Anolis sagrei: one gene and its partners. Each later gene encodes a partner of the first gene's protein in a complex. Links are inferred from orthologs where the notes say so. Each region holds a gene or a part of one and is shown in the gene's direction. Other genes may lie near its edges. The genes, in order: NAA20, SNCA and NAA25.

Region 1 (7,085 bases):
ACTGTATTTGATGATGTGGAATTCAGGCCACAAAATCCATAGTGTGTCACAGTTACCCCAAACTCCAGTATCCCAGGCTTTTTTTTTTTTTAACTTCCACCCCCGGGAACTCCCAGTGGTGCAATGAGTTAAACTGCTGAGCTGCTGAGCTTGTTGACCAAAAAGTCGCAGGTTCGAATCCGGGGAGCGGCGTGAGCTCTCGCTGTCAGCCCCAGCTTCTGCCAACCCAGCAGTTTGAAAACATGCAAATGTGGGTAGATCAATAGGTACCGCTCTGGCGAGAAGGTAATGGCGCTCCATGCAGTCATGCCAGACACATGACCTTGGAGGTGTCTACGGACAACGCCAGCTCTTCAGCTTAGAATGGTGATGATCACCAACCCCCAGAGTGGGACACAACTGGACTTAATGTCAGCAGACAACTTTTACCTTTACCTATCCCCAAGAAGCTTCAACTCCTTTGGCCATTGATCAGGGATTCTGGGAGCTGAAGCCCAAAACACATGGAAGATGAAATTGTCAAAAATGCCCCCTCCACCTTGTCAAATTGTCTTGATGCCCTCAAACCAGCTCAAAGCCAATACGTGGCTACACAAATGCAAAACAAAAGGTGTGTTTACGCTGTTGAATTAATGCAGTTTGACACCACTTTAAATGACAGCCCTTGTAGTTTTACAATGGCTGTAGCTTTCCCTGGCAAAGAATGCTGGCGACCCACCAAACTACAATCCCCATGATTCCAAAGCAATGATCCATGGCAGTAAAAATGCCAAACTGAATTAATTTGACAGCATAGACGCACCCTATGACAAAGTAAGCATTACTACATCCTGTCTGGTCAACCCTGCTATACCCCTATGAAACATGGACTGTCTACAGATGTCATATGCAACTCCTGGAACGATTCCATCAGCGCTGCCTCGGAAAAATCCTGCAAATGTCTTGGGAAGACAGGAGGACAAATGTCAGTGTGCTGGAAGAAGCAAAGACTACCAGCATTGAAATGATGGTCCTTCACCATCAACTTTGCTGGACTGGCCACATTATGCGAATGCCCGATCACTGTCCCCCAAAGCAGTTACTCTACTCTGAACTCAAGAATGGGAAACCGAATGTTGGTGGACAGGAAAATAGATTTAAAGATAGGGTTAAAGTTAAGCTTAAAAACTGTGGCATAGACACCGAGAACTGGGAAGCCCTGGCCCTTGATCGTTCTAAGTGGAGGTCAGCTGTGACCAGCAATGCTGCTGAATTTGAAGGAGGGCGGAGGGCGAAAGGGAGAAATGTGCCAAGAGGAAGACACATCAAGCCAACCCTGACCAGAACCGCCGTCTGGAAACCAATGTCCTCACTGTGAGAGAACATGGGGATCAAGAATAGGACTCCACAGCCACCTACAGACCCACTGCCACGACACCTCAAGCTACGAGAGATCACCTAAGTAACTTTTACTTGTCCGAGTATGATTGTTTTCCAAGATCGGTGTACTAGCAGCGGATATATAGGTGACTGCGGAGCCCTATTCTTGATCTGCATCTTCCCCCACAGTGAGGGCATTGGTTTCTAGGTGGAAGGCAGTCTCAGTCGGGGTTGGCTTGACGCGACTTCATCTTGACACGTTTATCTCTTTTGCCCTCCATTCATGTCTCTTCAAATTCTGCAGCACTGCTGGTCACAGCTGACCTCCAGCTGGAGCACTCAAGGGCCAGGGCTTCCCAGTTCTCAGTGTTTATTCCAGAGTTTTTAAGGTTGGCTTTGAGCCCATCTTTAAATTTCTTTTCCTGTCCTCCAATATTCCGTTTTCCGTTCTTGAGTTCGGAGTAGAGCAACTATTTTGGGGGAAGGTGGTTGGGCATCCGGACAACGTGGCCGTTTCAGCAGAGTTGATGGCAAAGGACCATCGCTTCAATGCTGGTGGTCTTTGCTTCTTCCAGCACACTGACGTTTGTCCACTTGTCTTCCCAAGATATTTGCAGGATTTTCCGGAGGCAGCGCTGATGGAATCATTCCAGGAGTTGCATGTGACGCCTGTAGACAGTCCATGTTTCGCAGGCATACAGCAGGGTTGGGAGGACAATAGCTTTATAAACAAGCACCTTAGTACCCCTATAGATATCACTCTGTGCTTCATTTGGGAAAATGCTGCACTCGCAGAGCTCAGGCGGTGTTGTATTTGACTTTTGTGGAGTCAATGTTGACTTTTGTGGAGAGATGGCTGCCAAGGTAGCGGAAATGATCAACATTTTCTAATGTTACACCATTACGGTGCATTTCTGGCATTGGAGAGGGGTTGGCTGGTGACTGATGGAAGAGAACTTTGGTTTTCTTGGTGTTCAATGACAGGCCGAGCTTCTCGTATGCTTCTGTAAAGGTGTTTATAGAGTGGCTTGTAGATGTTCTTCTGAATGCGCACAGACGACATTGTCATCAGCATATTGGATCACAGCACCGCAAAAGCCCAGTACAGTCAGAGCCACAATCCCTGGCAGTGTTTCCGACCCAGATGTTTTGGACTTCAGCTCCCAGAATGGCCAAAGTGGTTGAGGATTTGGGGAGTTGGAGTCCAAAACACCTGGAGAGGTAAAGTTTGGGAATCATTGGTCTATCTATGACGTCCAACTCTGGACGCAGATGACGTCCAACTCTGTCACTCCTTCCCACCTACTACTAAGGAGGCTGTTCAGGTCCTGAACCGCTGCTTGGCCGCTGTGTCGGACTGGATGAGGGCTAACAAATTGAAACTGAATCCAGATAAGACAGAGGCACTCCTGGTCAGTCGAAAGGCCGAACAGGGTATAGGGTTACAGCCTGTGTTAGACGGGGTTACACTCCCCCTGAAGACGCAGGTTCGCAGCTTGGGTGTGATCCTGGACTCTTCGCTAAGCTTGGAACCCCAAGTTTTGGCGGTGTCCAGGGGAGCATTTGCACAACTCAAACTTGTGCGCCAGTTGCGCCCGTACCTTGGGAAGTCTGACTTGGCCACGGTAGTCCACGCTCTGGTTACACCCCGGATTGATTACTGCAACGTGCTCTACGTGGGGTTGCCCTTGAAGACTGCCTGGAAGCTTCAGATGGTCCAGCGCTCGGCGGCCAGGTTGCTAACGGGAGCGGCACTCAGGGAGCATACCACTCCTCTGCTGAGCCAGCTCCACTGGCTGCCAATCCGCTACCGGGCACAATTCAAGGTGCTGGCTTTAGCCTATAAAGCCCTAAACGGTTCTGGCCCTGCTTACCTCTCCGAACGCATCTCCACCTATGAACTGAACAGAACATTAAGATCGTCTGGGGAGGCCCTGCTCTCGATCCCGCCTGCATCACAGGCGCGCTTGGCGGGGACGAGAGACAGGGCCTTCTCAGTGGTGGCCCCTCGGCTATGGAATGCCCTACCGGCAGACATCAGACAGGCACCTTCGCTGCTGACGTTTCGGAGAATGGTTAAGACCTGGCTTTATGAACAAGCGTTTGGTTAAGCAGTGCAACCAATCATAGGAAGAGGGTAAATGGAACATAGGAATGGCACAAGGATTATGAGAACGGATCTGATTTCAACTGAGGCGTTATGTTATGTTTGTTTTGTTGATCTGTCTTGTTGATTGTTAACTGTTGTGGATTGATGCTGTTGATCCTGTTTGTTGCATTGTTATGTTTTAATTGCACTGACACTGTTTGATAATTGTACCATGTAAACCGCATTGAGTCGCCTGTTAAGGGCTGAAAAATGCGGTATAGAAATAAAGCAAATAAATAAATCTATGACATCAGGGTTTTTGCCTGTGGGAGGAGGTACGTGGCCTCAGGAATTGTGGGAGTTGAAGTCCAAAACACCTGGAGGGCCAAAGTTCGCCCAGGCCTGCTCTACATCCACAAGAACCTTGGAAGCCTCGGTTCTAACAGCCCTTTGCTTTGGAACTCGGAAGAGCGGCGCAGACCGAAGAGGCGTGGCTGTCTTTCCTTGCTCTGCGTTCGACTGTCTATATTCCGGCTGTCTGTCGAATGCTCTGACGTCAGAGGCGTAGCTCCGCCCTTGATGACGCGAGCATCTCTCCCCATGTGAGGAAGTGATCCAATGGGACAGGAGCAGTTCCGGGTCGGCCGTCCTCGCTTTGCCTGGGCCTCCCTCCTCCATTGCCGGCAAGAGGAGAGAAGCCATGACTTCGCTTCGGGCGTTCACGTGTAATGACCTCTTCCGCTTCAACAACATGTGAGAAGGGGCGCTGCGGGCGAAGGGAGGGCCATGCGGTGGTTTCCCTTGCTGGCTGTGGAGGGGCCTCTGTCTCCTCTTGGAAAAGGCTTCTGCCCCTATACAGTGTATTGAGATTCTCTGGCTACCTGCACTTGCTGAGGAGAAGCCTTCAGTGGAGAAACTGAGGCTGTCTTTGCAACCGCCCCCAAATCGAGCGGGTATTTCTGCATTTCAGGCAGGAAACAGCCAGGCTTTGAAGCTGTGAGGCTATTCAATGCTAATCAAGGTGGCCAATTGCAACATTCACACTTGCCTCCAACAGACACGAGTTATTTCTCACACCCTAGAATCATAGAATCAAAGAGTTGGAAGAGACCTCATGGGCCATCCAGTCCAACCCCCTGCCAACAAGCAGGAATGTTGCATTCAAATCACGCCTGACAGATGGCCATCCAGCCCCTGTTTAAAAGCTTCCAAAGAAGGAGCCTCCACCACACTCCGGGGCAGAGAGTTCCACTGCTGAACGGCTCTCACAGTCAGGAGGTTCTTCCTCATGTTCAGATGGAATCTCCTCTCGTAGTTTGAAGCCATACCAACAACCACCATGTCAGACTACACAGAGAAGCCATTGAAATCCACAAGCATGTGGACAATTTCAACAGAAAGGAAGAGATCATGAAAATGAACAAAATCTGGCTACCAGTATTAAAAAAACTCTAAAATTACAACAGCAAAACAACAGAGAGGAAACAACCAGGCACATCTTAACACCTCCCAGCAAGAGATTTTCCCAGGCTCAGGCAGGCCTTCAAATGCTAATGAAGGTGATCAGCTAAAACATTCACACCTAACTGCAGCAGGGAAAAGCTCCTTGCCCCACCCCAGCCATTCCACAGATATATAAACCCATTGTCCTAATTCCAACAGACCTCACTACCTCTGAGGATGCTTGCCATAGATGCAGGTGAAACATCAGGAGAAATGCCTCTGGAACATGGCTCTATAGACCGAAAAAACCCACAGGAACCTTTGAAGCCATTGTTCCGCGTCCTAGTCTCCAGGGAAGCAGAAAACAAGCTTGCTCCCTCCTCCCTGTGGCTTCCTCTCACATATTTATACATGGCTATCATATCTCCTCTCAGCCTTCTCTTCTTCAGGCTAAACATGCCTAGCTCCTTAAGCCGCTCCTCATAGGGCTTGTTCTCCCGACCCTTGATCATTTTAGTCGCCCTCCTCTGGACACATTCCAGCTTGTCAATATCTCTCTTGAATTGGACCCTGGACCTTCCACAGATATATAAACCCCACTTGCCTACTTTCCAACACACCCTTCAACCTCTGAGGGTGCTTGCCATAGATGTGGGCAAAGCGTCAGGAGAGAATGCTTCTAGAACATGTAATCTATATATATATAAGTGCTCTGTGCATAATGAGTTCCTTAAAAACAAAAGAACCAATGAACGAAATCACACCAAACTTGGCAACAAAAGTCTCACAACACAAGGAGTGACCATCACTCAAAAAATTATGATTTTGTCATTTGGGAGTTGTAGTTGCTGGGATTTATAGTTCACTTACAATCAAAGAGCTTTCTGAACTCCATCAACGATGGAATTGAACCAAACTTGGCACACAGAACTCCCATGACCAGCAGAAAATACTGGAAGGGTTTGGCGGGCATTGATCATGAGTTTAGGAGTTGTACATCGAGAGAGCACTGTGGACTCAATGATGGATGTGGACCAAACTTGGCACAAGCACTCAATCTGCCCAAATATGAACACAGATGGAGTTTGGGGGAAATAGACCTTGACATTTGGGAGTTGTAGTCACTAGGATTCATAGTTCACCTACAATCAAAGAGCATTCTGAACCCACTAATGACAGAATCGGGGCAAACTTCCCACACAGAACCCCCATGACCATCAGAAAATACTTAAGGCCATCCAGTCCAACTCCCTTCATCAGGGCAAGAAAACGTAATCAAAGTCCTCCTGACAAAGAGCCATCCAGCCATAGATAAGGATAGATAGATAGATAGATAGATAGATATGATTCACACACAGAGATATAGTAAAGAAGGACAATGATATGTTGCGTGTTCTAAGGTGGGCAAACTGGACAATCTCCACATCAACACTGACAAAGAAACAGCAAGAAATACTGTTTACCCACAAGCATCAAGAAATTAAATATATTAGAAACCAACAATTCCTCATTACTTTATTTCCCAGATCAACAGATTGGGCCACAGCAATGCGTGGCAGGGGACAGCTAGTAATATATAAAACCTTATTTATATACCGCTCTATCTCACCAAGGGAGATTCAAGGTGGTTTCCAAGCAACATCACCTAAACATACAGAGTAAACAGCATGACATAATAATAATAATAATAATAATAATAATAATAATAATAATAATCTTTATTTATACCCCGCCACCATCTCCCCAATGGGGACTAGGAGCAGCTTACATGGGGCCAAGCCCGGACAACATGTTACAGCAAACTAAAACAAGAACATAAACAACAAGCAACATCATCAACATTACATAGAGAGAGAAAAAGTATAAACACAGTAACAAAATAACATTCCAATAAACACAATCATGATAACAATGGGCGGGCCACATGTACAGGATAAAATGATTAAAAAAACTCGAATGAGATAAAAATAGGAGCAAGTTATTTGCAGGGAGCTCATAAAAACACACAGGGTTGTGGAACTAAACTTCCCATTTGGAGGGCATGTACTCCAGTGGCAGAAGCGTGAGGGGAGCAATAGTGTCATGTTGTGCACGTACTCGCTAAAGGCGCAGTGGAAGAGCCAGGTTTTAAGGTTCTTTTTGAATGTTTCTAGTGAAGTGGCTTTCCTGATCTCTCCAGGTAATGAGTTCCAGA
Region 2 (8,059 bases), on another chromosome or scaffold:
ACAGGAGGGAAATGCGGCTTTTAAAAAAAACTCCTTATCTTACAGTAGGATTGAGCAATTTGCAAGCCAGATAAAACAAATTTATGTAAGACAGTAAGTTTGAAAGCACACAAAAATAATTTCATGCAGGGTAGTTACATAAAGAGTTGCTACTCAGTTCTATTGGGTGTCTTGATTTTTAGGCCTGTTTATAAGGTTATTTGAGGCATTGATTCAGAAAATTGCATTCGATAGACCATATCAGCTTTAGTTTCTAAGATATGGTTATCCTGGTTTTCTATAGGCGAGCAGATGGCAGCTGGTAGGTGGCAATGTTCAGTATCTCAAAAAGTCGAGCTGATTGGGGGAAACTGGTGTGGTTTTTTGAACTGGCGGGTCAAATGGGCTCATAAACAGGACTAACATTTGAGGTATCAAAATGTGTGTTGACCAGTGTGCTAGGAAGGCTTAGGCAACCACCTCAGGTCTTCAATTCTGGGAGGTGGAAGCAGGGATTGCCCAAAACTTCTTTTTTGGGGAGGGCTCTCTGAACATTTTCTTCTTCTGAAAAAGACGTGTATATGTTGCACCCTAGTTGTCCTTCACTGCTAAATTAGTCTGCTGCTTTTAGGAGGAGCAAAGGACCCAATTTCACTACCAGAATGGACGTTTCTGCTGCCATTGAAGTCAGAATGTGTACATAGAACGAAAGAAGAAGATATTATCTTGTCCTTTTTTTCCTCAGGCAGCAAAATGTTTTGAACCAACTTTGCAATTACCAGAGTCTCAGTCCATCTACCTGTGGCTTCCATTCCACTTAGCTATCAGAAGCACAGTGTGATCCACATATCCATGGCACTGGTATCTGCAGTTTTATTTATCCACGTCTGACCAAATACATCTCTTTAGGCATTTTCTAGATCTTCCAGCATAACGTAATGGTATGCTTGGGCCAGAACTACTTAATTTCAATAGGGTTCACAGTTTCATGTATCTACAAAACGCCCAGGAGCTTAACTTCTATAATATGGGGATCATACTCTATTGCAGTGGTTCTCAACCTGGGGTCCCCATATGTTTTTGGCCTACAACTCCCAGAAATCCCAGCCAGTTGACCAGCTGTTAGGATTTCTGGAAGTTGGAGGCCGAAAACATCTGGGGACCCCAGGTTGAGAACCACTGCTCTATTGTAAAGAAGAAGTCATAATATAAGTTTATTGAGTTCATCAAGAACTAGACTCTACTCAAGGTATAAAAGAGCCAGGCAACTCAATCTTTAGATGAAACTTTAAAAAAACAACAAAAATAAATCTTTATTTCAAGGATGAAAATGAGAAAATTCTGTACACCCTTTGTTTATTGTGGATTTAAGCTGATGTAACAGTGAACTGACCTTTATAACAGCAAATTGGCATGGTGTTTTTCTTATGTCTGAGTGGATTTTTAAAAAATGCGTAAATAACAAGAGAATTGAAGATGTTAACTCTCTCCTCTACTATGGTTGCAGTCTAGATGACTCCTATATGAGTAGTTTTATAAAAGGAGGCAAGTATCCATTGGGGTCTTTGCAGGTTTTCTTCCAAAGCTACTATAGGTATTAGCCAGACTAGGCTATGGTGAGGAAAGTAAGTGGAGCTGGACCATAGTAAAGGAAAAGAGTTTATGACCTTATCACCTGGCTTCGTCTGGTTTTGTGGAGGAAAGAGGGGGGGGGGCAGCGGACAGAGGCGGCCCTAGGTAATTTTCAACAGTATTTTGGCGCCCCCTCCCCCCCCCAACCAATCACTGATAGATATTTTCTGTTCATCGTGGGAGTTCTGTGTACCATATTTGGTTCAATTCCATCATTGGTGGAGTCCAGAATGCTCTTTGATTGTAGGTGAACTATACATCCCAGTAACTACAACTCGCATATGTCAAGGTCTATTTTCCCCCAAGAGTGCCTCAAGTGCGCCCCTGGGCAAAATCAACTATACTGCAAATGCTTACTTTGCGTAATGGGTTGAGACATCCCTGGCAGCAGAGTGAATCTGTTGCCTCACGAGCAGCTCTTCTTGATGATGCTTTCTCTATCACATGTGGGAAGTGTCGCCCTTCTGGGGAGGATTTGTGCTGGCTCCATTGGGGCCAGCACAATATAGGAAGCCTCCTGTGTTGTGTGGGAAGCATCCACAGATGCCTCCACCCCGATTGGGGGCAGGGCCTCCACCAGAAGTCACACAATGTTGTGTGATGGCTGGCATTTCCATCCCCAAAACAGACTGGAAGCTTCCTAGGACACTGAATTTGGTGAGTGTGATGAGGTTGTTAAACTCCTCTAACACTGCACAGGAAACATTTTCTGTAGAGAAAATAATATTTTTCTGCACATTCTGAACAATTTTGATTCTTTGGATTTTGGATGCATTTGGGATGCAGAAGTCATGGACATAGAGGACCAACGAGATGTTTGAAACTCCAGCTCCCAGAAAATCCAGCTAGGATGTCCAGTGAGGGAGGATTGGAGATAGTGATCCAAAACATCTCAAGAGACAGCCAAATGTTCCCCATCCCAGCTCCATTATTTGATATGCAACTGATCCTCGGTATCCACAAAGTCTGCATTGACAAATTCCATCATCTACAATTTGGAAATATTCTCTTCACATTCCATAAACCAATCATAATATTACCCTTCTATATAAGGGGCACCCTTTCCCTACACCATGTATATCATGTGATTTGAGAATCCACAGATTTTGGAGAGACCTGGAACCAAATACCAGAAGATACTATTATTTATTTACTGTATTTATATACCACCTTTCTCACCCCTGAGGGACTCAAGGTGGTTTACAACATACTAATGGCAAAAATTCAATGCCAACATACAGTACACAAAGAAATCATAATAATTAATTACTACATATAACTATTAACTTAAAACCAGTTAAAACCATTAAAGATAAGACATAAATAACATTTAAACATTCAGACAAAGCATAAAATCATCCTAGTATAAAGATTAAAATCCCATGATCCAGAAATCATATATCATAGCCATTCTGAACTGTCATTGCACATGTTCCTTAATTATTCTTCCTACTGCATTATTTATTAGCCAAAGGCTTGATCCCACAACCATGTCTTTGTTCTCTTTTTAAAGGTCAGGAGGGAGGGCGCTGATCTAATCTTTCTAGGGAGGCAGTTCCAGAGCCAAGGAGCCACAACTGAGAAGGCCCTGTTTGTTGTCCCCATCAACTGCACATGTGACAGAGGCGGGACCAAGAGCAGAGCCTCCCCAGTTGATCTTAACCTCCTTGATGGTTCATACTAAAAGCCGATTTTATTTGCTATGCAAATAAGCAATGCTTCTTATATAACCTACCTATCACTTGAGAGCACTGGTTCTCAACTTTTGGTTCTCCGGGTGCTTTGGACTTTGAGTCCCAGAATTTCAGGTAGTTAACCAAGCTAGGTGAAGCTTCTGGGAGTTGAAGACTGAAAAACCCCTAGGACCAAAGTTTGGGAACCACTGCAAGATCAGAGCCCACAGTATTTACTATGCAACAAGGAATACTTCTTATATAACCTCTATGTCTTTAAAGCACTTGTTACCAACTTTTGCTCCCATAAGTGTTTTGGAGCTTGGAGAAGACAATGATGTTGGGGAAATGGAAGGAAAAAGGAGGAGGGGACAACCAAGGGCAAGATAGATGGATGGTATCCTTGGCTTGGCTTGGAAGTAACTGGGGGTGGCCACAGCCAACAGGGAGCTCTGGCATGAGTTGATCCATGAGGTCATGAACAGTTGGAAGTGACTGAGTGAATGAATAAACAACAGCAACAAATGTTTTGGACTTTAGCTCTCAGAAGTCCTGACAGCTGGTTAAGCTGGCTATGACTTCTGGGAGTTAAATCATAGAATCATAGAATCAAAGAGTTGGAAGAGACCTCATGGGCCATCCAGTCCAACCCCCTGCCAAGAAGCAGGAATGTTGCATTCATGGCAGGGGGTTGGACGGGATGGCCCATGAGGTCTCTTCCAACTCTTTGATTCTATGATTCTCTGATTCTATGATTAACTCCCAGAAGTCATAGCCAGCTGTCAGGACTTCTGAGAGCTGAAGTCCAAAACATTTGTTGCTGTTGTTCTGGGAGTTAAAGTCCCAAAACCTGTAGGACCAAAGCTTGAGAACCACTACCAGTTTAGAGTACACCTATGGAAGCAGAAGCAGTGAAAAATATAGGTATAAGAGCGGAGGTCACTACACCCTTGCCCACCAACCTGCTTTTCCTTGGGTACATTTACACAGCAGAATATGCACCACTTTAACTGCCATGGCTCATTGCGACAACTCCCTTGATTCCAAAACATTGTGCCATAGCAGCTAACATGATGCCAAACTGAATTAATTATATAATATAGATGCACCCTGGAACCAAACCCCTGAAGAATGTTTGTTGTTCATTTGTTCAGTCGTCTCCGACTTCGTGACCTCATAGATGAGCCCACGCCAGAGCTCCCTGTCGGCTGTCACCACCCCCAGCTCCTTCAAGGTCAGTCCAGTCACTTCAAGGATGCCATCCATCCATTTTGCCCTTGGTCGGCCCGTCTTCCTTTTGCCTTCCACTTTCCCCAGCATAATTGTCTTCTCTAGGCTTTGCTGAAGAATGTATTTACTATGTAATAAGACATGCTTCTTATATAACATGTCTATCCCTTTAAACTACTGCTTCCTAAAATTTGGTTGTTTTGGGTGTGTTGAGCCTCAGCTCCCAGAATTCCTGACGTCCAAAGCAGCTGAGGCTTCTGGAAGCTGAAGTCTCAAAAACCTGCAGGACTAGAGTTTGCAGGAAGGCAGCGCAAACTGGAAGAAAAATTCCCCACTTGTTGCCCATCGGAGGAGGAAGAGTTTCTCCTTTCAGGAAAGCCTTCGAGGTGTATTTCGGAGGTGGAGGGGAGGGGAGAATAGGGGGGTTTCTTTACTACCGGGTGGAGCCAGCAAAAGATGGAGAGACCAGGGAGGAGGAGGAAGAGGAGGAGAGGAGGAAGGCGGCGTCCTGGCTCCGGCTTGGCTCCTGGGCGCGGCTTGCCTCCGCTACCTGACGAATGAGACAAGAGGCGGTGAAAAAAGGCGCAGGGGGAGGGGGAAAGAGGGAGAGAGAGGAAGAGAAGCAAGGGAAGGAACTGGCTGGTCTCCCTTCAAGCCCTGGCTGCCTTCCCTCTTTCCCACCCATTGCCCTGAAAGCGGAACCTGGGACCCATCTTTCCCCTCCTGGCCTTACTTCCCCTGGACCTGGGTACCACTCTTGCCTGCATCCCTGCATCCTTCAGCCGGGATGTACTAAGCCAAACATCGCCCTGCTCTCTTCTCCCTGCTCTTAATCACACTTCGAAAGAGTCCCGAGGCGAAAGGAGTCACATTTCATTGGCAAGGAAGGTAAGTAAACTGGTTGAATTGAGACTGGGTTCTTTTATTTCTCCCCTTTGGGGAGAGAAACAGAGAAGGGTTGTGGAGGGATGGCTTTTGCCAGTCTTGGGTGCACTTACAGGCGAGTAAATTCCACCGAGCAGGAAAACAGCTTGCTTTTGGTAGATCTAGGGATGCGTCTACATCCCTACAATTCAGTTTCAAAACACTTAGATTGTCATTACATAGTGGTATGGAATCATAGGATTTGTAGCCTGGTGTCCTGTCTGGTACATCTAGTAGCATCTACAGTCAAGAGTAAATGTATAGTCAAAGGCTTTCATGGCCAGAATCACTGTGCTGTTGTGAGTTTTCTGGGCTATATGGACATGTTCCAGAAGCATTCTCTCCTGATGTTTCGCCTGCATCTATGGCAGGAATCCTCAGATGTTGTGAGGCAGAACTCACAACCTCTGAGGATACCTGCAATATATGTAGGTGAAACATCAGGAGAGAATGCTTCTGGAGCATGGCCATACAGTCCAAAAAACTCACAATAACCCAGAGTGAATGTAGTTTGACAGCACTTTTAACTGCCAGGGCTCTATGGTATGAAATCCTTGGAGTTGTAGTTTGGAGGTACTAGCACTGTTTGGCTTGTTGTAAAACTACAACAAGCATTAATTCATGAGCCATGGCTATTAAAATAGTGTCACACACCACCATTCTACAGTGTCCAGATGGACAATAAGAAAGGTATCCTCGTGGCAATGCCAATTTGCATGTCTTACTCAAGAATAGAGCTTGGTTTAGTGTGGAATTATCTCGTGTGCAAGATTACAGGCAAGCATAGCAATCTTGTGACATAGGCTGCCTTCTGAAGTAAGTCCTGTTGGAAGTAGCAGGATTTATTTTGTATTGTCAAAGGCTTTCATGACCAGAATCACTGGATTGCTGTGAGTTTTCCAGGCTGTACGGCCATGTTCCAGAAGCATTCTCTCCTGACATTTCACCTGCCTCTATGGCAGGCATCCTCAGAGGTTGTGAGATCTGTAGTGTCGAAGGCTTTCATGGCTGGAATCACTAGGTTCTTGTGGGTTTTTTCGGGCTATATGTGAGATCTGTTGTAAACTAGGAAAGTAGAGTTACCTCTTCAGGAATCTACCATACTCTCCTTCTTCCCCATCCATTGCCATGAAAGCGGGAGCTGGGACCCATCTGTTGAAATTGTCCACATGCTTGTGGATTTCAGTGGCTTCTCTGTGTAGCTTGACATGACAGTTGTGAGAGTGGTCCAGCATTTCTGTGTTCTCAAATAATATGTATGCTGTGTCCAGGTTGGTTCATCAAGTACTCTACTATGGCTGACTTCTCTGTTTGAATTAGTCTGCAGTGCCTTTCATGTTCCTTGAATTGTGTTGTATTTACCGTTATTTTAAGAAAATGACTATGAGACTTTGGATACCTGTGGAGCATCTTCCAAATGTTGCAAGTATGTATGTGTGAACAGGTGTCTAGCCCTGAACACCTGTTTTTCAAGACCTCTGTATCTGTATACATCTTTATAGATCTTTTGACTACTGTCAAAAATCAAAATATGCATGTGGTTGAGTTCTTTTCCCCCTCGAGGGGCTGTGGTTGATTTGCATCACTTTGCTGGACTTCTAGGACCAGTGAGGAATGTTGTAGTATCCATTCAAAATGGACCTGAACTGTTTTGCTATTGGGAGTAACACATCCATTTCAGTGAATGGGCTACATCTCTATCTGTATCCTAATGAGGACAGAATTCTCTGTCTTCCCCACAATGGCAAACCAAACGATCCAGTAAACACCTCCAGAGCCTCGCCCTGACTCCTCAGGAATTCAGTGGCATTGCTCCTAGCAGGGTTTGCTGCTAAAATTCCCTTGGGGAGATGGAAATAACAAACATAGAACAGTGGCATTTAAGAACACTAACAAGTCTCTGGGGCAACTGTAAGCATAGTTATTGGACTGTAATTCCCAGCAGCCCCAAGCAATATTGCCAGGAGTGAGGAAGGATGGTGTTGTGGTGCTTTAAGATAACAGGTCTTTTGGGTGTTTTGGATATGGTACAAATGCAACCTGATTTCCAAGCCATGAAATATTGAGTTATGTTCTATCTGTTTATAATTTACCTAGAACCAGAACTCTATTAATACCCCCCACATCCAGACTAATGGTGCTTGTTGCCTTGTAGTAGTGTTCAAAGAGCTAGCCATGCTAGTATGTTTTGCTTCATTAGACTTTTTGGTTATATATGAACATGAAAAGGCATAAAATAATCCAAAAAGAGGCTAAAAAAAGAAATTTTAACATAAGATATCATGCACACAGTCTGTTTCACTTATGCATTGCTTTCTGTAAGAACACAGTCATCCAAGACTCTATGGAATCTGTAGGTGGGCAATTGGATATCTTTTCTGAGATGTGTGAGGATATTTTGGCTCTTTTCACAGGAGTAAGGAACATTCATACAGATCTTACTACAGTATAGTCTTGCTTATCCAACCTCCACTCATCCAACATTCTGTATTATCCAACGCAGTCTGCCTCCTGTCTGGATCTACAGCTGTTTCAATATATTGTGACGTTTTGGTGCTAAATTCATAAATACAGTAATTACTACATAAAGTTACCATGTATTGAACTGCTTTTTAAATCAA
Region 3 (7,272 bases), on another chromosome or scaffold:
GCATCCTCCCCATCCAGCCTCTTCTTAAAAGCCTCCAAAGAAGGAGCTTCCCTTCACCACACTCTTGGACAGAGAGTTCCACTGCTGAACAGTTCTCTCTTTCACAGTTAGGAAGTGCTTCCTCGTGATTAGGTGGAGTCTCCTTTCTTTCCTATAGTTTGAAGCTATTGTTCCATTGTGTCCTGGTCTCCAGGGCAGCAGAAAATACGTCTGCTCCCTCTTCCTTATGACTTCCCCTCCTTCACCTCTTGATCCTCTCAGCCTTCTATTCTGCAGGCTAAACATGCCCCAGCCTTTCAGTCACTCCTCATAGGGCTTGTTCTCCAGACCCTCGATCCTTTTAGTCACCCTCTTTTGGACACATTCCAGCTCAGAGTCAACATCTCCCTTAAATTGTGGTGTCCAGAATTGGACACAGTGTGATTCGAGGTGTGGTTTGACCAAGGCAGAATAGAGAGGTAGCATGACTTCCCTGGATCTAGGCATTACACTCCTGTTGATACAGGCCAAAATCCCATTGGCTTTTTTAGCTGCCACAGGACATTGCTGGCTCATGTTAACCTTCCTCCCCACGAGGACTCTGAGATCTTTTTCACATGTACTGCTATTGAGCTAGGCATTCCCCGTTCTGTATCTTTGTATTTAATTTTTTCTGCCTAAGTGGAGTATCTTGCATTTGTCCCTGTTGAACTACCTTTTTGTTAGTTTTGGCCAATCATCTGTCTTATCCGTTAAGATCATTTTGAATTCTGCTCCTGTCTTCTGGAGTATTGGCTCTCCCTCTCAATTTGATCTCGTCTGCAAACTTGATGAGCATGCCTTCTCATCCTTCATCTAAGTTGTTAATAGAGATGTTGAACAGGACCAGGATGGAACCCTGCTGGTGGCACTCCACTCACCCTTTCTTTCCAGGATGAAGAAGAAGCATTGGGGAAAATCACTCTCTGGGTTCATTCACTTTATTAAAGTATTGGAGAAGTCACCAACTTATTGCAGTGACCTTTGCCTGCCTTTTTCCTGTCCTGGGAAGATCAGCCAACATCTTGCCAGGCTTCATTTGCATTGATTGGATCAATCAGCTACCTCAATGGAACCCATACAACCCAAGTGAGACAGAGGATAACAGGAGCCAGGTGGACCACCCTTCCTTTGTGTTACTGTTTGGACAATACCTGACATTTGCCATCCCAGCACGGAGTTTCCAGTCACGAGATACCATGCCACAGTTTTGGAAAGGCTATTTTCCTCCTTTGTTATTCCTAGACATTGGACATTTATATGGACAATATTTTCTGTTGGAACTTGCATGGGAGTTTGGTGTTCGAGACACTGTGCTTGATCAGAATTTGAACGCCTAAGGGACAATACAAGTTTTGGCAGACCCATCAGGGTCATTGTGCTCACACATCAGGGATATTTAATACCATCATCAGTCCTCATCTGATCCATTGTTCTGAAGCTCGCCATCCCCTCTCTAGCCATTGGACAGAGGGCAATCTCCATCTGAGGCAGTCAGTACTCTCTCCCGCCTCTCCAGGGAGCCCCCACTGATGTCATGCTGGCTCAGCCAATCATGGTGAAGGTGGGTCCAGCTGGGGGCGGTGGGAATTTTGAACCTGTAAAAGTGTATAAAAGTGCATGTTTTTCTGTAAAATGTATCTCAGCTGTCTTTAGTGGGCTACCACAAGCTGTCATCACTTCAGCTGACTTTAAATAAAATATTTAGCGGCTTGTCTCCAACATTGTGAGCATTCTTTCGTCGGATTGGGCTTCCTTTGCTCACCAAGCACATGGATCCACAGCTGGTTGGGCACCGGAGCCTCTCGCTGCCTAAAGGTTGGCTCTCAGTCCTGGGTTCTGGGCATGGATCTCACTATCTCTGGCCACTCCAAATTGCTCTATTTCACTTCCTTAACAATCTTTTCCAGAATATTGCCTGGTATTGATGTGAGGCTGACCAGATTTGGGTCCTTGATTCTCCAGGGAGCTGGTGGTGATGAAACACGCGAGACAGAGACTAGTGTGCCGCTGGGGAGGACTCAGGACAAATCTGACTGAGTACAGGCTAGAACCTCACTTAGGGCCTCCTTCACGGCACTGAAGGCGTTCTTCACTGCCTGCATTGTGTCTGCAACTAATAGACCAGCGGAGTTGTTAATAGGTTGTATATCCAACCTATTAACAGTAGCAAAATTACTTATAGCAAGAAATTGGATAAGGGAAATAAATATAAAAAAGGAAGAGTGGTATAAGAAATTATGAAAATTGGCAAAAAGTGACAAAATTGACATGTAAAAAAAAGTGACAAAATTGACATAAAAAGTTAAAAGAGGAATATGGAAAAGTGGTTTTGATGAGGTTTGGAGAACATTTACAGGAAAAAAGATTTTTAAAAGGACAGAGAATTGCCTCCACAGGAAGGAAATTTGGGACAGAGGAGATAAATTTACACACATACAGATTTTCACTTTTATTATTTGTATACAAGAAGTTCACTTCACTTCACTTAGGTGATCCCTTGTAGTTGGAGGAGGATGGTCCTCCAAGGTCAGTGTTCTGTCAGTGGGTCCACAGGTGACTGTGGAGCCCAATTCTTGATCTGCAGCTTCTTCCGCAGTGAGGGCATTGGTTTCCAGGTGGAAGGCGGTCTTGGCCGGGGTTGGCTTGATGCGCCTTCCTCTTGGCACGTTTCTCTTTTTCACCCTCCACTCGTGCCTCCTCAAATTCTGCAGCACTGCTGGTCACAGCTGACCTCCAGCTGGAGCGGTCAAGGGCCAGGGCTTCCCAGTTCTCAGTGTCTATGCCAGAGTTTTTAAGGTTGGCTTTGAGTTGAGCCCATCTTTAAATCTCTTTTCCTGCCCACCAACATTCCGTTTTCCGTTCTTGAGTTCGGAGTAAAACAACTGCTTTGGAAGACGGTGGTCAGGCATCAGAACAACATAGCCGGTCCAGCAGAATTGATGGCAGAAGACCATCGCTTCAATGCTGGTGGTCTTTGCTTCTTCTAGCACGCTGACATTTGTTTGCTTGTCTTCCCAAGAGATTTGCAGGATTTTCCGTAGACTGTCCACGTCTCGCATGCGTATCACAGGGTTGGGAGGACAATAGCTTTATAAACAAGCACCTTGGTATCCCTACGGATGTCCCGGTCCTCAAACACTCTCTGCTTCATTCGGAAAAAGGCTACACTCGCAGAGCTCAGGCGGTGTTGAATTTCAGTGTCAACGTTGACTTTGGTGGAGAGGAGGCTGCTAAGGTAGCGGAAATGGTCAACATTTTCTAATGTTACACCATTAAGCTGTGTTTCTGGCATTGGAAAGGGTGAGGATAACTGAGTGGATTTCGAGTGACATTGTAAACCGCCTTGAGTCACAAGGAGAGGCGGGTCAGAAATGAAATAATAATAATAATAATAATAATAATAATATGGATGCAAACATTGCAACTTTTAAAAAAATCTGAAAGGAGAGGTGGGTGACAAATATTTCAATCTCATGTGTAGAAGGGCCCATCTCCAGACTGCCATAGAATGCATGGCACGCTGCCTCCCCTTTACCGCGCGCCTTTAGTGTACGTCCCGCCCCTCGCGGCCTCCGATTGGCCCTCCTACTTCCCCCCTCTTCTCTCGCTGTGAGCCCCGCCCCTCGCGGCCTCCGATTGGCCCCTTCCCTCCTCTCTCCCTCAGTTATCCCTCGCGCCGCTGCTAAAGGGGCGACCTCGCGGCCTCCGATTGGCCCCTCCTCCCTCCCCTTTCCCTCGCCCCTTTGCTGTAAGCCACTCTACTCGCAGCCTTTGATTGGCCCCTCCCCTTTCCCGCGCACCCTTGCTGTAGGCCCCGCTCATATCGGTCTCCGATTGGCCCCCACCCCTTCTCCCTCGCGGGCCTCCGATTAGCGCCTCCCCCACTTCTTTTCCCCTCGCACCCTTACTGTAGGCTCCGCCCCTCGCGGACTCCGTTTGGCCCCTCCCTCCTCCCTCGCTGTAGGCTCCGCCCCTGTTGGCCTCTGATTACCCCCCCTTTCTCCTCCCCCCTCCATTTTCCCTCGCGCCCTTGCTGTAGGCTACGCCTCTCGCGGTCTCTGATTGGCCCCTCCTCCCCCTCGCGCCCTTGTTATAGGCCCCGCCCCTCGCGGCCTCTGATTGGCCCGCCTTTCCCCGCCCTCGCGCCCGGCTAAGCCACGCCCCCTGTTGAGAGAGACCCCGCCCCTCCGCTCGCCAGTAGGGCCGGCGAGCGGCGGAGGCGGCGGCTGCGCGCTGCGGTTCTGCGCTCTCATCATGGCGGCGGCGCGGGGCCATGTGCAGGATCCCAACGACCGGCGCCTCCGGCCCATTTACGGTACCGAGCTTTTTCCTTCCCATTGCCACCGGTGCTTCCTTTTCCCCTCATTCCCCCTTCCCCCCCCCCCATCTCCCTCAGCGTCTCCGCGCGCGGCGAACGGCGCCTGCCTTCCTCCCTCTGGAAGGCGCATGCGCACTGGCTGTCCTCCCTTCGCCTCAGCTTCGCCTCAGCCCCCCTGGGGCCCTTCCCGCCCTTTTCTCCCTGTCCTGGGTGGGAAAAGGAACAGGCCTTGGGCCTGAGAAGGAAGGGCGGCCTAAACGGGGCTCCACAGTCAACTTCCCTACTGCCAAGCTTAGCTCAGAGACTTGAGATTGCGTCTTGGCTGTTCCTTGATACAAGCCGTCCCCGATTTACAGACCCCTCACTTCCAAACGACTCCTTAACAAGAAGTGAGAGGATTCTTCCCCTTGAAAGGGAAATTCACTCCTGAAAGAGTTACTATCAGGGGGAAAGGGGGCTCCACTGAAGCCCAATCCCCAGTCCTTGTTTCCACAACAAGCGAAAATGTTCCAAATTATATTCTCACAAGGACAGAAAGTGAGGGGAAATCTTATGAACATTGGCACAGGCAGCAAACACCATCACGGGGGGGAGGCGGTTAATTGTTCCCCATGATCTCCAAAGCTATTGTTATGTTGATGGATGTTTTTTTTACCCCGCTTTTTTTCCCCAGAAGGTGACCTAGGACCTTTCAGACATGCCCTATATCCCAGGACCTGATCCCAGGTGTTCTGTTTATCCCAGATTATCTGGCGGTGCGGGCTCATATCCAGTTTAAAGCAGAAAACCCGAGATCAGATCATGGGATGGGGCATGTCTAGGGCCGCTTCCACATAGCTGAATAAAATCCCAAAATATCTTCTTTGAACTGGAATATATGGCACTGTGGTCTCAGATAATAATAATACTTTATTTATAGGCTGCCCTATCTCCCCAAGGGGACTCAGGCTGGCTTCCACGCAAAAAAGAAAGGCAAACTTTCAATGCCTTAGTAAAAAAAAAAAAAGCATACACATAAGTCAAACAGTAGAAAATAACGTCATTATAAATTAATAATTACTAACAAGAAAATAGAATTCATAGTTAAATAAAAATAGTTATCTAGAGACAAACACATGGACGCCATAAAAACCAAACCAAAGATAACCCAGTTCAAAGCAGATATTGTAGGATTTTCTGCCTTGATATTCTTGATATTCTGGGTTATATGGCAGTGAGGAAGGGCCTTTAGACATACAACCCAGAATATCAAGGCAGAGAATCCGCAAGATGTGCTTTATTTATTTATTAATTTGTATTTTATTTATTGATATCCCACTTTTATCTCCATACAGAGACTCCAAGCAGCTCACAATTAAAAACATGACAACTCCAAGTATACAATAATAAAATGGTGTATCGTGATATATTATGTATTATCAGTAGTAATTATATTTAATACACTTGCCTCCAACAAACAAGAGTTCTTTCTCCCACCCTGGACATCATTCCACAGATATGTAAAACCCCACTTGCCTAGTTTCCAACATACCTCACAACCTCTGAGGATGCCTGTCATAGATGTGGGTGAAATATTCAGGGGAGAATGCTTCTGGAACATGGCTGGACAGCCCGGAAAACTCACAGCAACCCATTTAATATATTAGTATTTCCATATTATTATAATATATTTTTATAATGTATTATTAGTGGTATTATATCGTATCACATTATAATATTTAATAATAAACTTTATTTACATCCTGCCCTCTTTCCAACAGGATTCAGGATGGCTTACAGAGAATAAATACAAGACCAAAACAAGAATAAAAACATACATAGCGACAAAATAAAAAAAATCACAAACTAAAATAATAATATCATAGTAAAATGCACAGATTAAATTATTTCTGGATTTAAAAACATATTGTTCACCAGGACAAAACCAGTTCAAGACAGTTTGCATTTGTATACCTATAAAAACCACCATCATGATAAGTTATAATTGCTCACTTCCAAATGCCTTCTTCCACGTCCATGTTTTCAATTCTTTCCTGAAGGTGGCTGGTCTGATTTCTTTGGGAAGGACATTACAGAGCTGGGAAGCCACTACTGAGAAGGCCCTTTCCCGCGTTCCCACCAGCCACACTTGTGAGGGTGGTCGGACTGTGAGAAGGCCTTCCCGGAGGACCTTAAGGCCTGAATGGGTTTATAGGGGGAGACATGGTCACACAAATAAGCAAATTATATTATTAGCAAAGCACAATATTAGTACTATACATTATATTGTACTATACCACTGTACTACAAAATTATTAGTAATGTTACATGTATTATATAATACACAATTCTTGTATTATTATATTTAATTGTACTATATTATTATACCACTATGCATGTAATACAGTACCAGTATTTATACCAGATACCAGAATATCTTGATAGGGGCTGTGGTGGCACAGCAGATTTATCAGCTGAGCTGACTGGAAGGTCAGTGGTTCCAAACTGCGTGATGGAGTGAGCTCCTGCTATCAGCCCTAGCTTCTGCCAACCAACAGTTGGAAAACATGCAAGTGTGGGTAGATCAATAGGTACCACTTTGGCAGGAAGGTAACAGTGCTCTATGCAATCATGCTGGCCACATGAACTTGGAAGTGTATACTGACAATTCCAGCTCTTCGGCTTAGAAATGAGAGATGAGCACCACTGAGTCAGATACAACTAGACTTAATGTCAAGGGGAAACCTTTACCACAATATCTTCTTTGAACTGGTGGCCCTTCCACACAGCCCTATAACCCAAAATATCAAGGCAGAAAATTCCACAATATCGGCTTTGAACTGCGTTATCTCAGTCCACACAGCCATATAAACTAGTTCAAAGCAGATAATGTGGGATTTTATACAGCTTTGTGGAAGGGGCCGATATCTGCTTTGAACTGTGTTAACTGAGGA

What was found.
Region 2: the proteins of NAA20 (region 1) and SNCA are in contact, whole or in part, in a cryo-EM structure (PDB 7STX), measured with the Homo sapiens proteins. The link is inferred for Anolis sagrei from reciprocal best matches to the Homo sapiens genes NAA20 and SNCA. Residues at the interface, in NP_057184.1 of Homo sapiens: Leu23, Thr24, Glu25, Tyr27, His73, Val74, Thr75, Ala76, Leu77, Ser78, Leu110, Phe111, Tyr137, Tyr138, Ser139, Ala140; in NP_000336.1 of Homo sapiens: Met1, Asp2, Val3, Phe4.
Region 3: the proteins of NAA20 (region 1) and NAA25 are in contact, whole or in part, in a cryo-EM structure (PDB 7STX), measured with the Homo sapiens proteins. The link is inferred for Anolis sagrei from reciprocal best matches to the Homo sapiens genes NAA20 and NAA25. Residues at the interface, in NP_057184.1 of Homo sapiens: Thr2, Thr3, Leu4, Arg5, Thr8, Cys9, Asp10, Leu12, Phe13, Phe15, Asn16, Asn19, Leu20, Pro22, Leu23, Thr26, Tyr27, Gly28, Ile29, Pro30, Leu33, Gln34, Leu36, Ala37, His38, Pro40, Glu41, Pro49, Glu52, Met54; in NP_079229.2 of Homo sapiens: Ser226, Glu227, Ile228, Asn259, Asp261, Asp262, Trp263, Gln264, Arg318, Arg321, Leu325, Lys362, Pro363, Cys364, Thr367, Asp368, Val371, Leu457, Thr459, Glu460, Leu461, Ser504, Ala506, Leu510, Leu532, Asp533, Lys535, His536, Ile537, Gln538.

What each region holds. Positions count from the first base shown.
Region 1 is NC_090024.1:138,984,294-138,991,378, forward strand, and holds the start of NAA20 (N-alpha-acetyltransferase 20), read left to right. Parts: upstream 1-4,052; 5' UTR 4,053-4,148; coding exon 4,149-4,201; intron 4,202-7,085. UniProt on the Homo sapiens protein: Catalytic subunit of the NatB complex which catalyzes acetylation of the N-terminal methionine residues of peptides beginning with Met-Asp, Met-Glu, Met-Asn and Met-Gln. Proteins with cell cycle functions are overrepresented in the pool of NatB substrates.
Region 2 is NC_090025.1:20,884,755-20,892,813, reverse strand, and holds the start of SNCA (alpha-synuclein), read left to right. Parts: upstream 1-5,013; 5' UTR 5,014-5,402; intron 5,403-8,059. UniProt on the Homo sapiens protein: Neuronal protein that plays several roles in synaptic activity such as regulation of synaptic vesicle trafficking and subsequent neurotransmitter release.
Region 3 is NC_090034.1:30,544,610-30,551,881, forward strand, and holds the start of NAA25 (N-alpha-acetyltransferase 25, NatB auxiliary subunit), read left to right. Parts: upstream 1-4,205; 5' UTR 4,206-4,275; coding exon 4,276-4,336; intron 4,337-7,272. UniProt on the Homo sapiens protein: Non-catalytic subunit of the NatB complex which catalyzes acetylation of the N-terminal methionine residues of peptides beginning with Met-Asp, Met-Glu, Met-Asn and Met-Gln. May play a role in normal cell-cycle progression.